Linked DNA regions of Caenorhabditis elegans. The protein of the gene in region 3 interacts with the protein of the main gene of each other region in a pairwise test. Each region holds a gene or a part of one and is shown on either strand. Other genes may lie near its edges.

Region 1 (3,910 bases), on a different chromosome or scaffold from region 3:
ACATTCCAATACGAAGACCAGTTCAATAAATCATTCTCGCAACGACCCCTGAAACGATGACATGATTGAACAATAATTCGTTAACAAGTCGACTCAATTGCAATAATACACGGCTGCGGTCTCCTTCGACAATTGTCATCTTGCTAAACAATTGAACAAGACGAATGAAAAGAAGGTTGAGGTTTTGACAAACTGTACAGGACGCGTCTCTAACCTCCTTTCTCAAATTGGGTGGCATCATTGTTCGAAAAAGGTGTCGCTATAATTGACGAATTATTCGACTCCTAGGCAGACGATCTTCAACTGTAAAGGTGTTACGGAAAATCTACTCAGCTATGAAAGTTGGAAGGCCTCCACTTTGACGAGTAACGTAGAGTGTTTGAGGTGGAGAGGAAGCGGGACGACTTTTTGCTTCCCCCCAAAATTGTCTATTAATGAGAAGGCTAATTGACGCACTTGGTGTGAGGAAATCGCTACCGTAATTTTGTCATTTGGAATGATTCGCAATGTTCTGTTACTTGAGCGAAAACACTCCAGCGTCCGTTGACTGTATTGCATTTTATTATTTTATAATAACCAAGACATTGAAAGTGAAACATTACAGAAGAAATTAAGAGATCGGATTTTGAGAATGAGGGCAAAATTAAAGTGGCTCAGCAGGAAAAATAGAAGAGAAAAACAATAGAAATTGAGAATTTGACATTTTGCGTGATGAAAACCGGATAAATACTCTAAGCGAAAAAAAAACAATCTTCAAGGTGGAAAGGTATTATTCATCCTCATCTGATTCTTTTTTAGAAACAGATGCATTTTTTACAGAATCAGGAGATACTGATGGTGATTCTTTTGGGGAACTGATATCATCTTTTACGTTTTGCGATGCTAGAAATTGCAGTAGAGAATTTTGAGAGTTGCTAGCAGGAATCATTGAAGAAGTTGGGACGACTAATGAATTGAATACAGGGCGATTATTAGAAGCTCCAAACATTGAAGTGTTCTGTGATAAGTAGTTTGCCCAATATGGATTTGTTCTTAGAAGTTGTTGAACGGCGGCCATATTTCCAGCATCGTGAAGAAGATCCATACCAACAGAGGCTTGTCGTTTCCATTTGGTTCTGAAAGTACCGTGAACATTTTTTTTCATTTCAAGCACTTTTTTTCTCAAATTTTTTGCGCCTCCCAGGGTAGCAGCTCCAATCTCAAAAATTGGATAATGACAGTGGAGCCGTTTCCCGTGGGGTGGTTGAAAGGAGTGGGGGAGGGCGCGGAAAAAAGATGACACTACTAAATAAAATTGGTGGGCGCACGCAAAGAAATTGAGGAGGGGTGAGAGCTTTGATTAAGATAAATTTCGATGGGGGTGAAGCTTCTCGCTAATGCACTACAATTAACACAAAGTGGCGTGTTTAGACTCAATTCTCGCCCAACTGCTGGCGCAAAGAGCCACACGTTGTTGTTTTTCGAGAAAAGAAAAAAAGTTTGCCTAATTAAGGAATATAGCCGACCAACCTTCTATTTTGATACCATGTCTTTACTTGAGTATCTGTTAGCCCCATTCGATGAGCCAGCTCCATCCTATCTTGAACAGACAAGTACTTCTGCTTCTCAAAGGTGTTTTCTAGCTCTTGAAGTTGTTTGTCGGTGAAGATAGTTCTCGCCTTCCGAGCCTTTTTTGATCCCACGCATGTCGGACTCTCGTTCACAGATCTTTCGGTATTCGGGCTCCCAATTCTAGGGGATGATGGCGATTCCGAGGAATTAATGGAGGTAGGAGATGGATCTACAATAACAAATAAATAAAGAAAACTGTTTGTATAGGTAAGAGGAGAACAAAGGATCATAATTGGTTGACCTATTACTATTACAGATTACCGTCCATGTGACTACTGGAGCGTTAATCCGTTAAATATCATTTTTCAGGTTAGTTGTACATTCAACATTCTCATGGAAGTCTATGTAGATTAAAGTGTTAGAGATGGTTGAACGAACATACAATAAATGCAATAACTTTAGGAAAATGGTGGCAAAATGGATTACCTGGTTCGTTGGTTGAGTGTGAAGTTGGATCAAGCAGATCAGAAATGCGAAAAGAGCTGTTTAAGTTTATCTTCGCGCCACCGGAAGAACTCTGAGCAGCAAGTTGGTTGGTGGGGTCTAGAAAGAATGCAGGAATCAGAAACTGACGGAGATCCAACATTGACATTGTTATGATAACCTTATCAGATGATGTAACAATACAATAAGTTTTGTAATAGTCAAATTGAATGACTTTTAGACAGTAGTTTAGTGTGAATGAGTGGGTTGGAAGGGTCCTGTTGCCTGCAGTCACTAAACGTCGCAAACTCGTTGATTGGTCTAGTCACGCCCATGCGAAGTGGAAGGCGGGGCGTGTCGAAGAAGGGAATAGAATGGATGACACCACGCGGTTTTGTATTGAGAAGTGTGGTCCGTGCAATCCACCTTTTTGAAGCCAATCAAGTGTGATAATGGGGGACGATGAAGCTGAAAACGAGCAGCTTCGAGGAAAAGACGAAAAGCAAAAGTTTCGGAAATGAGGCATTCAGGTGAGAAGAAAACAATTCAGACAAATCCCGAAACTGCCGAATGCAAACTATGCACACTAGGCTTTTCCTAAAAGCAGAGTAACAACGCAATGCAACATGATCCAAACGAGCAATGATTTTCAGATAAAAAAGCACTGAATAGAATTCAATATAACTAGCTATGCTAGTGTAAAACCGCAGAAAAAATCAAAAATAGCATGCTGCTTCGGCGTGCAAAAACTAGCGACTAAAGCTAAAAATGAGTTTCAGCCCGAATGATGTTTCAGCTTTCTGACTAAAAGATGATGAGGTCTAATAGGTACATTGTGTGTGTTTTAATATTTGATACATCACTGATTTGAAATCAGCACAATGGAAAACACTATCTGAAAAGTTCAGTAACAGTGACTACTTTTGATAGTTCATTTTGCATTTAGATTTTCCTGGCTGTGATCTTAAACTTGCTTCACACGTACAGTTCAGATTAACTGGTAACATCTTTTGGTACTTGTGTAGTATACCTAACACAAAAACATTTTCCAGTACATTTTCCATGCATTTCTTTTGAAACATAATAATTTATTCAAACCATGAAATAGATTTGCATTTTTAGACTTTGAAATACTTTAACCTTAAGCCTATTATCGGCAAAAAGGGGTTTAATATTTTTGGACCAGGTGTACTAAACTGGTACCTAATTTTTTTAATCCCAGATCCGCAAAAATCAGATTCTCAAAACACTAAAAATTATAATAAAATGCTAAGTAAGTAAATTTTTTATTTATTTTGAGCTTTATAGGAACTAAAAAAATGTAAACGTTTTCCGAGCTTTTAATTTCTTGAGCATTTATACTTAATTAGAGTTTAAATTTGTATTTTTCGGTAGCCGAGTTTGCAATAGTCTGGGTTCCTCTTTTATAGACTATTATGAGCAAAAAAACTTTGTTTTACATATTGAAATATTTTAAAAATTATAAACTAATATTTATAGTTGTAAAAAATTTTCAGACCCTTTATGTTTGCTTGAAAATTTGTTCAAAAAGTTTTCAATAAAATATCATGTTGAAACATCGTTATCATTCTGAAAAATATATTTGCAAAGTGAACAATGTCAACAATCGTTATATTTTTCACAACCGATTCATGAACAACGCGAATCTATTGTTTGTTATCAACGTCTAACAACTTACTAATACTTAATTTCCTGCCGTATTACCTCTCTAGTTTTCCGGCTGTTTATGTTTGGCGGCCACCTCCGTAAAACGTTAACTTAAACGTACAAATCTAATTTTATGCTGTCCCATCGTTTTCCCTCTTTCCCACTAACTAATAAGCAATATTTCCGGTCACAAACGGTCGATGAGCAA
Region 2 (7,584 bases), 1.9 Mb from region 3:
ATTACTGAAAATATTCCATGTTTTTTGAAAATTGCAAATAGATACCGAAACTTTGACTAAAAACTTTGAAAAATCTTAACCATGTTGGTTATTTTTCGGATGTTCTGGATGTTCAAAAATGAGTTTAAAGCATTTTCTTTATAATATTGGTTGTTGTTCTGTTAGTTTAAAACTTTAAATTAGTCAATAAATCTCAATAAAAAATATTCTAGCATAATCAGGTTTATCTACAAAAACGTAACGCGTTCAAACTATTGACAAAACCATAAACAAATCATTAAAAAGGGGGAAATCAGTCAGCTAATGATTTGGTCATCTAGTTGAATGGGAATATCAGAATGATATGGATATGATAAGAAACGAGGCCATTAACAAGGAAAACGACGATGACACAATATGACATTCAACCGTTCCATTTTCCAATAAATCTCTCGGTTTCTCTCCCATCATTTATTGATTTCTATTGTTTTTTATGTTTCGAATCATATGTAGTCTTCTCAAAACTGTATGATTCACCTTTTTTTAATGATGTTTGTATGCCAATTGCCATTGTTGTAAACGTTTTATTCATCTGTTCACAATATAAATCAGAAAATAATAAATTAGTTTTAAAGCTTACCATTTTTTTTCTCTAAATTTAAATTAAAAATTTACAATTGAAAAATGAAATTTTGAAAGTATAAATCAAAATCCAATGAAAATCCGGGCGAGGCAAGAAACGGAGTGAAAAAGACAATGAAAAGAGATACTTAGAATAATTGAGTTACTGTATATGAAACATGAATTTACTATCTAAACCTCTTCAACATTAACACTCTCTTCTTCTTGAATTGATAATAATTCAGTTATTGATCGAATCGAATGACGTGGTCTTGAAGAGGAAGGGGATGATGCCGATGAAGGCTGAGTTGAGGAATTAAGAGCCAAGAAAAGTTGAACGGGATCCAGTTCTCCGACAGATCTGCAACAGACTCAGTTAATCCACTGTACTAATAAATGCTCATCATACCTATCATCAGTAGAAGAATTTTCATCAAATTGATTGCTACTCGTCGCATCATCCTCTTCTTCAATATCTTCACCCTCTTCAGTTTCGGTTTTTTCTTGTTTTAATAGAAAGTTCAAATTGAAGTTTGCCATTGGAAACAGTGACGTAGGAGTGGGTTGTTGTGGTGGCTTGAACATGTCTTGAATAAGTCTTGGCATTGAAGCTGATCCAATTGAAGGGCGGAATAGAACATCAATTATTGAAGTTGTTGGAATAGCGGCAATTGCATTTATACATCTGAAATAGGTTTCAGACTGTGAAGTTTTCAGAAGGAAAGATGGTACTAGAGCGTTTAGTTTTCATTAGTTTTCAATAATCAATTTCGCTTTTTAAGCAAATAGGAAATAATTTGCATTTTTTGTGAGAACAAAAAACACTGCTTTTTTAATTGTGGAATTTTTTATATTTTGAGCCGAAAAATGAACTTTTGAATAGGATAATCGTACAAAAACTATAAATGAACTTTTTCAATTGGTTAATTAATTAATTTTAAAAAAGAATTAGCAACCTTCAAACTAGCAAATACAATATTTAATTAACTTTGATCGTTGCAACCCACTCAGAAAAACAGCGTTTACCTTTATAGTGAAGTCTCACATTATTCCAAAAATAAGAAAATTGAAAAAAAAAATAAAAAAAGGAACTTACTGGATATATCTCGTCGGTTCGGTTCTATGTGTGAAATTCTGAATAGATGCTAACTGAAAGACAATTTGAATTGCACTTGGTGTATCTCTCCACATTGTGAAATGTTTCAACATCATGTATTCTCTATTATCCAATTGTAAACGTTCAATTATTTCAAACGCGTTAGCAACCTGAACATTCATTAATTTTTCAAAATATTCAGATTCATATTACTGCATACCGCATTTCTTTGCTCTGAGCTACCGGATATCGTCTCAGTCCTTATTTGCTTAGAAGTTATGGCACGTGTTTCAGTTGCATGGAGAACAAGAAGTGCTGCCCAATTTTGTTGAAACATTGTCATTTGCCGTTCTTTAGGTACTCCATTCAAAGGATTCTGACAAAATCCAACAAGTGCAAAAAAGATTCGAGCAGCAGTACCGGCCACTGTGTCACGATTCATTGATGATGTCGGAAGAATTATTGCATCACTTTCTGATCCCATTTCCGGCTGAAATGAAGGAAAATTAAAATCATCTACTTAATAATATTAACTTTTTCACTGAAAGTTAATTATAGAAATTTTAGACATAATTTCCTCTTGTATACGATATTTGCTAATTCTTCCAATCAGCTGTCCCTAACAAGTACTTATGCAACATAATCATTTGACACTATGTTGTCCCCACTTAAGATCCATAAGAGCACAATATTATTGAGTAATTTGTATCCGAATACAAATAGAAACATTAAAACATCTGCCCCAGAATACACATATATTCACAAGTTTTTGAAACTGGCTGATTTTTCAAGGTGCTCTTTTTTAAAGAATCTGTCACGGTTTTGGCACGTATTTGGTGTTTAACTGATAATTAGAGGATATTTTTTTGAAATTTGACGTTTTGAGAAAAACGTACCACAAAAAAATTAAAATGTTTTGTTTAATTCTTCGATAATTGCCAATTCAAAAAATTGCCAACTTAACGAATACTCAGCACTTCCGGCAACAACCAAGTTACCGTGTTGTAGAAAATTGCAATTCATTGCAATCATATTTCTGACCATGCTCTATATCCTAGGTGTTCCCTTCGCCAGTAAAATGTTTGACTATGTTCAAGAGTGACAAATCACCTGTCAGGTGGTACTGTAGATTTGTACAGCAACCGACAACTTTTCACCTTTTTTACTTTTCGTCGCCGCCGCGTCGGTGTCAACTCGACCAAAATCCACCTGCGGATTACTGTACTAATTCTACTCAAAATCCTTTTTTCACTTCACTTTAGTCACTGATTTTTGTGAGTGAGAAAGAGAAAGATCGGTAATCATGAGATTTAAATGGAACTATTTTGAAAGTCATTATGAATTCAAAACTAAATTAGAATCGATAAATTTAATTAAAATTATTAAATATTTTGTCCTTGTAACATATCCGAATTTAAGATTCCCACAAACACATACCGAATTAGGAGAGGATCCATGATCGAACATCATCTGTTGTCGTCTTAAACTTGAGTTACGAGGCCCTCTCTCATGTTGGACAGCATCTTTGTTCATCCCAATTTCCAGACACTTTCTTAGTCGGCAAGCTCTGAAATTCTCCAAGTGTCATCAATCAATGTATGGACTCGAACGTAAAGAGCATAAAAGGGGATCGTAACACTAATCTGTGACCGTTAAGAACTCACCTGCACTGGTTGCGGTGTGTTTTGTCCACTTTGCATTGTCCTTCGGATGGACTGCCTTTGTTTTTGCACACGTATTGACGATGACGACGGATTGAACGCTGAAATTTGGAATTGTTGTTCAATTTCAATGATAATTATGCTAAGGAAATTTGAAAGTCAATTCACATTGAAAAAATATTTCATGAGGTCTCAAATCCTAGACATACATTATAATCGGAGCAGAACAAAGTTAATGTTGCAAAATGATTGTAGACATTTTTTGTTGAAGATTAACACATTTTTATCTATCCGGAAATTCAATAATATAACAATTAGTTTCAGCAAAAATTAGTACCTTGTCTAACCAAGGTGTGCGCTTTTAAAACGTACTGTAGTTCAATAAATTTGTTTCTGTCGAATTTTGGATGGTTTTTCGATAAAAATATATGTTTTTTAATAAAATTCAGATGTAACACATACATTTTTAATAAATCAGGAGAAAAATTCGGCAGAAACGAGAGTACATAATTACAGTACAGTTTAAAGGCACATACCTTTTCCCGTTTAATAAAAAAAATTCACATCGAGACCGGTTACCGTATTTTTAGAGCAAAAATGGGAAACTTTCGCGTCTAGATAATACTTTTTTAAAAATTTTCCACTAAAATTTACTCTCAAATTCGAATATTTTAAGCTATCTAAAAAATGAGAGCTCAATAAACATTAAAACTTACTTTAAAGAATCCAGCACACCCGTCGCAGGAAAAAATACTGTAATGCTTCCCCGACGAATGATCTTCACAGACTCTACAATCAACATCCAATAGAATTCGACCTGAAGAAATAATCATTTTTAGGTGTGAAATAGAATGAGGAAATCAAGAAAGCCAAGAAGGAGAGACTCCAATTATTCAGCACTTCCTGTGTCTCTTGCCTGCCTAATTAATAGAATATGAAAAGAGAATGAAGGCAGAATGGAAATGGATTTGTTGAAAGAAAAAGGCAAGAAGTGAACAATATTTCAAATTGAGTTTCTACTTCTTGGATATTGAGTATTAGTTTTGATGTTGTTCGTATGACTTTAAAAAATTAATTTTATTTAACATCATGACCTTTCAAATCAATTCTAGTTCTAGCTAAATGGTGCTAAATCCACAGGTGCCACGTGTCACAATTGACCCGAAACACCTGCATCTCCCACAGAAACTCTTCCATTCTTGTACTAATTCCATCACCTAACTCATAATTCACACCTAATCATTTCTACCATAATATTGAGTCACTATGTTTAATGACTTCCTATTTTACTTATTGGAGTTCTCGTGCCGGGGAGATTAGGAAAAAAAAAGGAATTTTTATGAAAGTTTTATGTGACTTTTTAGTTCTGAAATCAGGGTTCTGAAATAATGTCTTAATTTTTCAGTTAGAAATTTTTTCTCACACTGAAATTGATATGCATTCAAATTATGATATTCACATTAGACATTTCTTCATTTTCTTTCTTCATTCACACAAACTAGTTTAGGTACAACTACAGTAACCCATCTGCACTAAGGCTTCTAGAACTCATATATAAAGATACATGGATTTACTGTAGTTTGTATATTAATGGATTTATCCCATGGAAGAAGTCAAGGTTCAGATTTTGTTAAATTTGAAGACAATGGGTAGTAAAAAAATATTTAAAAAAAAACAGGAGTATTTCATAGGGTTTTCAAAATTTTGTGAAGGTATCAAAATCCTATACGTATGTATCTTGCCAAAAAAGCTCCCACTTTTTTTTTCGATATTATGCACTTCCAAACCCATTTTTAGGAAATTCTTCCCTAAATATTTCAAATTAATAATAATCTACTCTGAAATTGAAATTAAAATGAGAAAATAACAATTTTATGTGGCTAAGAATGTGAAGTATGCCCACCGGGCAACTCATCCTACGTTTATTAATTGCTCAAGATCCCAATTTTAAAATCTGAGTTTCTTTTGAAGTTGGGAATTGGAAAAAAGCTTTCTACAGCTAAAGCCTGGAAGTTTAAGAAAGCTCATTTTTCCAAGAAAGTTCGAAGTAGAAGTTTTCATCTTCTGATTCTAGATGTTGACGATTAACTTTTTAAAATTGACTTACTGCTTGGAACCGACATCTGTGAAACCGCAGTCATCATTCTTGGCGCCAGATTCATTAATTCAAGAATTCCGGAATATTGAGCACACAGATTCCCAAAAGACAAATTCTCTCTTCTTAAGGCGAGAGTGAGAGGCAGTCGGAAAGGCGAAGGCGAGTCACGTCGTCAAATCATGGGCGGAGCTAGCGACCACCACTGACAGCCGACGGAGAGAAAGCGAAGAGAAACGACTCTGAGGGATACTGTAGACGATGCAATAAGCCACGCCCTGATTGATTTTGAGAGTTTTTCTAGTGTACTGTTTTTCAAATATTCAATTTTTTGTTTTCATAGTATCCAGGTGAATGCCAAATTATTCAATTGAGTGGTAGTTTTATGTTAATAGCTCAAGTAACATTGTTCAGAGTACAGAAAATCTAACTGAGGTGCTCTTGTAGTTGAAATGTTTAACTTATTTTGGAAAACTATAAATCTGAAAACCTAGACCACTGTAAACTTTACTAGTGTGTGAAGTTTTCAAGCAACCACTATGATTGACCACACTCTACTCATCTTTTAATTTAACTTTAACTCGGAGTTTTCAATTTTTATTTAATTTCAATACATTTTATCTGCAGTTTGACTTGAACAAATTTTGAAACTTTCTCAATTAAGAAGTGGTTCTTTTCTGGGATTCTGGTTTTTTCGGAAAACAGTTCTGTATCCTTGGTCATGTTATTATATTTGCCCTATATAGTCAATATTACTCTTGAAAACTCCCTTCCTGTCGGATCCTTTTATTGCTCACGGAGCATCCACCTCATCCCAAAAACTTTGTTCTCTTTTCATCCCGCGCACAATCACCACACACTTCTTGCCGTTGTTGCTCCCATTCTTCAGAATGCCTCCTCAAATCTTTTTGGAGGCACAAGTTGAAGGAGTTTTGGAAGACTCAAAAGAGCTCAAAAGACCCGACGACATCCCTGAGAATACTTGACCATTCATTGTCATCAGTAAAGACTTTATGATGAAAAGAATTGGAGCAAAAGTTTTGAGCAGAGGAATGGTAGTTTTGCCGCAAAAAGTTAGATGGAGTCTGGGGTTCTATGTGAAATATGTAGTAGACTGTTTTGAGAGAAAACTTCAGGTCGTGTGAAAAATTAAATATAAATATTATTTTAGGGAAACTCTAGGTTCCAGACTTGCTTGAACCACAAACGTAAAACTGACGAATTTCAAGCTGTATTTTTTACAAACTTCATTTTCAACTTTATTTTTTATATATCAGTATCAGGCATATAGTTCTCTCTCGGAGAGCCAGAACAAAATCGAACCAAAAAACCAATATCCCTTGATTCATTAAAATTTTAATTTTCTTTGAAGTTAGTTGCTGAAAACTTTAACATTGTAACACCGATTGTAAATTCTTAGATTCGTTATTTAATGTTCTACCCCTCTTGTTCTTCAGTAGGTTGTCACAACCAATTCAGTGTAGTCTATAGTATTAGGTTTCTAAGCAAAAAAAAAAACAGTAAAATATTTTTCCAGCTGCCAGGCTCATGGTATTTTAGAACCTAATAAAATTCTTCAAATGCTCATCATATAAATTGAACTCTCTGTGGCTTGTACCACAGGGTACGAACATGACCTCCATTTCATTTTAGTGGTGAACACCTGCATTTCATTTTGATGCTTACGCAATCAAAAATACTTTTTTTTCTCGATTTTACCCAAGAGTAAGACAATGTGTTGGGATTTTACGCAATATCGAGAACGATGCAGGAAAAGGTCGTTGAAGAGAGATAGACAGACGAGGGTCATACAGGTGTGAACTTTTGGAAAACTTAGCGAAATGGTGGGGGGGGGGGGGGGGGGAAGTAAAATGAATAGATCTTCCAATGTTACATTGGATTGTAAATTATTTATCACAATCATGTTTCCGTATAGTATTGCATCCCATCGCTCTATGTACTTGGACAGCTTATGTTTCAGTTGTCTTTTGAGTTGGTAAAAAGTTATCAACTGACAAAACAATTTATATTTTTTCTATAGTGCTTCAATCAGACTTGTGAACAATTTTTCATCACGTAGGCATTAACTTCTCTCGTTGGGAGGCGAATTTTGTGGAATCCCTAGTATTCAC
Region 3 (4,586 bases):
ATGAAGAAGAAGTGGATGCAGCGTCGTATGGAGATGGAGCTGGATGACTTCCAGAAGCTCGAGAGGGGGAAGAAGCTAATATTGAATTAGTTTCAAAAAGTCCCACAAAAGTTACAAGTTACCTCCATATCCAGCTTGTCTTTTTACTGGCCCTGAACCAACAGCCTTCGTTGATTCATACATATTTTCCAGATTCTTAGCCCCGTCAACACAAAATCCAACCTAAAAATGCAGAATAAATACCAAAATGTGAATAGAAATCACTTGCATCAGTTTGAACAGAGCTTTGAATATATTGTAGATATGTGTAAAGCCCAGGAATTAGAATAATGCACATGATTCCAGAAGCAGCACTGAAAATTTCCAGCTTGTACTATTCTGCCACGTGGAAATCGGAACATACCTGACAACAGTCGCCACGAAAGCAACTTTTCGAAGTTCATCCTCTTCAGAATTCACTAAATTCTTCTTCAAATTCATTTCTTCTTCCAATCACCTAATCATTTTCAACTGTGTTTTATATCATTCACGCTTATCACTTTACTGTTTTATTACAATCCTACAACGGATAGAACACGTTAAAAAATAAGGATAATTGATAGCAAGTCAAAGATAACATTACACATTATTAGTGGAATGGTTCAAAAAACATCTGGAAAAGGGAGGTAGATGTGATTTAGATTGAATCGTAGACTTAGGATGAGGTTTACATTGGGTAAAAACCAGTTTCGATGGAGAAATGTCACAGAAAATATTTAATGAGATAGGTGGAGAGTGGAGGAAATTTTACATTTTACACATATAAAAAACAATCAGTATTCGGTTAAATTACACAGCTTGATCATCCACATACATCAGTCGCCAACGGCTTGGATTTGAAATGTCGAGCAGGAAGAATTGATTATTGTCCCAATTATTCAACATGGGTTGATTGAACATTACACTGATCTTTGGTGAAATTCCGAAAAGAAGCATTCCGATACATTGTTGACCACAGAAGTCTTGAAGTGCCTCTTTTAAGTGTGCTTCATCACGGAGATTGATTCTCATTGGAACATAGAGATGCTCATCTGTTCCATCATTTTTAGAAAGGAAGAATTCAAAATGATGAGTCGGAGTCGTAGTAGTTCTTGGATATCTGTTCGGTTCTCCTTTCCACAGTTTTCTCAATTTTCTGGCAAGCTCGAAAGTTGGCTGGAACATCGGATCTCTTCTCAAATCATGTTCTTCATTCGTCAAATCAGTAGCTTTTCTTTTGATTGCTGGTTGTCTATATGAAGGTGAGTCGTAGTTCTCTGTTGGAATTATTAGTGGAGCAATTGTGGCGGTCTGCAATGGCTTAAAAATTATTATAGAATAAACTTTCAACACTAAGTTGACATACCAAGTTTGGAGACATATGCTGTGTGTATCTTTCAGGAGTGAATTGTTCGTTTTTCACCATATTTGACATCTCCGTTTTAATATTATTTAAAAATGGCATCTGCGCAAGGAGCATTGAATGAGACGTCATTGGAGCAGTGGCCGAAGTTGACTGGAGAAAAGACGCGACCCCAGAAGATGTGGGTATTGAGCCATTCTGCATTGCTTGCGCATAAGCTGCTCGAGCCGCCACAATTGATGATGCACTTTGTTGCTTCTGTTGTTCTTCTTCTTGCTGTTGAACGAGCCTCTTTGCAGCTGCTTCTCTATCCGCAACTTGCTTTCGGATCTTTCTTCGTTGATTTGGATCAGCAACATTTCCAACTATGTAGACACGATTTCTTTCGATATTCGTTGGGTCCAATCCATAAAGTCTAACTTCTTCATCTATTGGTGCACTGTGATTGTGCTCATGGATAAACGTGAGGATCTTTTCAGTAACAATATCCGTATGCATTCGTGCTTTACAAGTGTTCTTGTATTCACATCTCCAGAAATATTTCTTTTGACATGATGAAAGCTTGTCAAATGTCATGAAAAATCCGTTTGAAAACACTTTCAGACGAGTTTTCTTTGGGATATCAGTACGTGGAGAACCTGCATCTCTTTTAGCAACCGCAGTGGATCCATTGGCGAGAGCGGCGGTCAATAATTTTGACATGGTGAGGCCTGCGTTGTCTCCGAATCCACCGGCACTGGCACTGGCAAGAAGTGCCTGTAAAACAGCGTTGTTCTGAAATAACAATCAAATGAAATAACATCTTGGATAGAGGAAACTTACTTTAATAACGCTAGACATATCAATTCCGCTCGCGAGCAACTGGTTAACAGGAGCAGATGTAGATGCTTGGGACACAATCTCCATTGGTACAGCTGTGACAGAAGTCGATGGTTCGGAAGTTTCGGCTTCTCCATCATCGGATCTAACTTCAGGAGCATCCGCAAGACTTGGAGCATTAAGAGAAGACGACGACGGAGGGGATGGAGAAGATATGTTGGAGTTCATTCTGAAATTAATAAATTATTCTAAGTTACATGGAAGATAAGACCAATTGAGTGATGAGGTTAAAATAGGAAGTAAAAAACTATGCAGCCAGACGGTAGACCAAAATCCTATTGGAATGACATATTTGTAACATTAGCAGCGTTCGGGGGTCTAAGTCTCTCAACCCAACGGGGAAAGGGCGGGACATTATGGTCCCTTCTTCTGCGTCTCTCTGATTCATTTGTTGTCTCTTCTAATGACGTGCGCGGTCAGCCGCTCGCGGACCGCGTACGCGCACTCTTGGGTCCGTTCCACTGTTTACACCAAAGAGGTCCTTCGTGGGAGGGCAATCGCAGCAAACGGGAGCAAAAAAAGACGACGGCATGGAGGCAGCGGGGACAGATGGTGACGTTGGATTACAGTAGATAGGGCGATGTTGGGAGGGGAGAGAAGAACGCTAGACGTGAGAAAAGGGAGACATGTAGGATTAACAATAGAGGCAAGCGTTTTTTTATGATTGAGCAGGAGCCTTACGATTCTGGCGAATACATCCTCCGATATTAGATAATTGGAAGACGCCGTCCTGAAAATAAATTTAGATTTTATAAAAATTTCGAATAAAATAGATTAAGATGGCAACGTGTGTAAAAAAACAAATACTGCCTGTAAAATACAAAAGCGAAAAAAAAAACGATTTTTAAACAAATGTCTCATAGTTGAGAATATTTTGATTTATTTTTGGTTTTATTTTTAGATTTGGCAAAAATAATTTAAAATAATCCAAAAGGAACTTCTGTTTATTTAGGTTGGTTTTTTAAGCATTTGAGAGATTATAAGAATAACTTTCGGTTTTCTTATAATTGGAAATTGAAAATTACTATTTTAACGATTTAATATGAAAAGAAATTGCGAGAAACACAGATCTGTCCAGAGAAAAAACAAATGAAACGAAAAATGATGAACAGTTATGCGCGTGGACTACTGTCACTCATTGACGTTTTTTGTGCAATAACGGCTACGATAAATTGCGTATCACTGGAAACTTATTTGAACAGGCCTAAAAAACAAAATAGAATATTGCATGTTGCTTTGGTGGTCCACGAGGTTGTGAAAATGGAAAATGAAATATCAATAAGTCACCATATATATTTTTTACATAGTTGCAGCAGTTTCAAATAGGAATTCATCTCTAATGGGATGATGCAAGTGAATTTTTCTACATTTCTCAACAATTTATTTGCAATGCAAGTAAGCAGCGAAATGACGCGAAATTCGCAATTTTTTTACATTTATTTACATTTCTCTACATTTCTCGACGTGGGAAAAAACACTCATTTTTCGTCAAAACCACGTCTTTAGTTCATGACTTTACCTTCCCAGACGTTCACGTTTGTGAAAAGTAGTGTAAAATGGGAAAAATAAAAATAATTTGAGAATTTTAAAAGATAGATGCGTGGTCATTCAACGTGGTTTTGAATTCTAAAATTTAAAAATGATCAAGTTTGATTTTTCAAATTTGGCTGTTTTGCAACACCACGTTGAATGGCCACGCATCTATCTTTTAAAATTCTCAAATTATTTTTATTTTTCCCATTTTACACTACTTTTAACAAACGTGAACGTCTGGGAAGGTAAAGTCGTGAACTAAAGACGTGGTTTTGACGAAAAATGAGTGTTTTTTTCAAATGTCGAGAAATGTAGAGAAATGTAAAAAAAATGGCGAATTTTGCGTCATTATGCTGCTTACTTGCATTGCAAATAAATTGTCGAGAAATGTAGAAAAATTCACTTGCATCATCCCATAAAAAGCATTTTACTAGCACATATGAAGAAAATAACATTACAATATTATTTGAAAATTCAGAAACGATCATAATCTCTTCCTCTTCTAGCCCGTACGTGGTTTGGCTTTGGTTCTTTATCAAAAAAGGGATGCAGCCTTTTCGGCTCACAGTTAACAATTTGGTGTAAAATCCACTTGTTGCTTAAAGTATGCAGCCGAAAATATTCAACAGAATCAAATCTATCAAACATTTTTTGAAAATTAACTTTTGTTTATGGGGTGCTGAGATGTATACAAAATTTCGATCTGAAGAAGAGAAGAAATGCATTTTAAAAGACCTCAGAAGTCATGGGAACATTAATATTGTGTGGAAGAGAGCTTCATCAACCGATGTGA

Evidence for each region. Proteins that work in one complex are often made in the same cells at the same time.
Region 1: the proteins of flh-1 (region 3) and ceh-31 interact in a two-hybrid assay, tested with the Caenorhabditis elegans proteins (one large-scale study listed by BioGRID).
Region 2: the proteins of flh-1 (region 3) and nhr-67 interact in a two-hybrid assay, tested with the Caenorhabditis elegans proteins (one large-scale study listed by BioGRID).

The regions. Positions count from the first base shown.
Region 1 is NC_003284.9:3,068,105-3,072,014, forward strand, and holds ceh-31 (Homeobox protein ceh-31), read right to left. Parts: upstream 2,319-3,910; 5' UTR 2,204-2,318; coding exon 2,038-2,203; intron 1,781-2,037; coding exon 1,510-1,780; intron 1,453-1,509; exon of another isoform or gene 1,170-1,452; intron 1,116-1,169; coding exon 770-1,115; 3' UTR 544-769; downstream 1-543.
Region 2 is NC_003282.8:11,167,751-11,175,334, reverse strand, and holds nhr-67 (Nuclear hormone receptor family member nhr-67), read right to left. Parts: upstream 5,588-7,584; 5' UTR 5,502-5,587; coding exon 5,465-5,501; intron 4,175-5,464; coding exon 4,074-4,174; intron 3,459-4,073; coding exon 3,361-3,458; intron 3,264-3,360; coding exon 3,134-3,263; intron 2,926-3,133; exon of another isoform or gene 2,796-2,925; intron 2,187-2,795; coding exon 1,917-2,186; intron 1,867-1,916; coding exon 1,697-1,866; intron 1,286-1,696; coding exon 1,010-1,285; intron 962-1,009; coding exon 793-961; 3' UTR 544-792; downstream 1-543. UniProt on the Caenorhabditis elegans protein: Orphan nuclear receptor that binds DNA containing an extended core motif half-site sequence 5'-AAGTCA-3'.
Region 3 is NC_003282.8:9,261,274-9,265,859, forward strand, and holds flh-1 (FLYWCH transcription factor 1), read right to left. Parts: upstream 2,991-4,586; 5' UTR 2,959-2,990; coding exon 2,942-2,958; intron 2,430-2,941; coding exon 2,204-2,429; intron 2,156-2,203; coding exon 1,385-2,155; intron 1,339-1,384; coding exon 829-1,338; 3' UTR 535-828; downstream 1-534. Other genes in the region: col-120 (Nematode cuticle collagen N-terminal domain-containing protein), read right to left, coding at 1-75, 123-222, 269-353, 404-480; Y11D7A.19 (NADH dehydrogenase [ubiquinone] 1 alpha subcomplex subunit 13), read right to left, coding at 4,537-4,586. UniProt on the Caenorhabditis elegans protein: Probable transcription factor. Binds to the DNA sequence motif 5'-[AG]GGCGCCG-3' in the promoters of target genes, including micro-RNA genes, in order to repress expression, and acting redundantly with flh-2.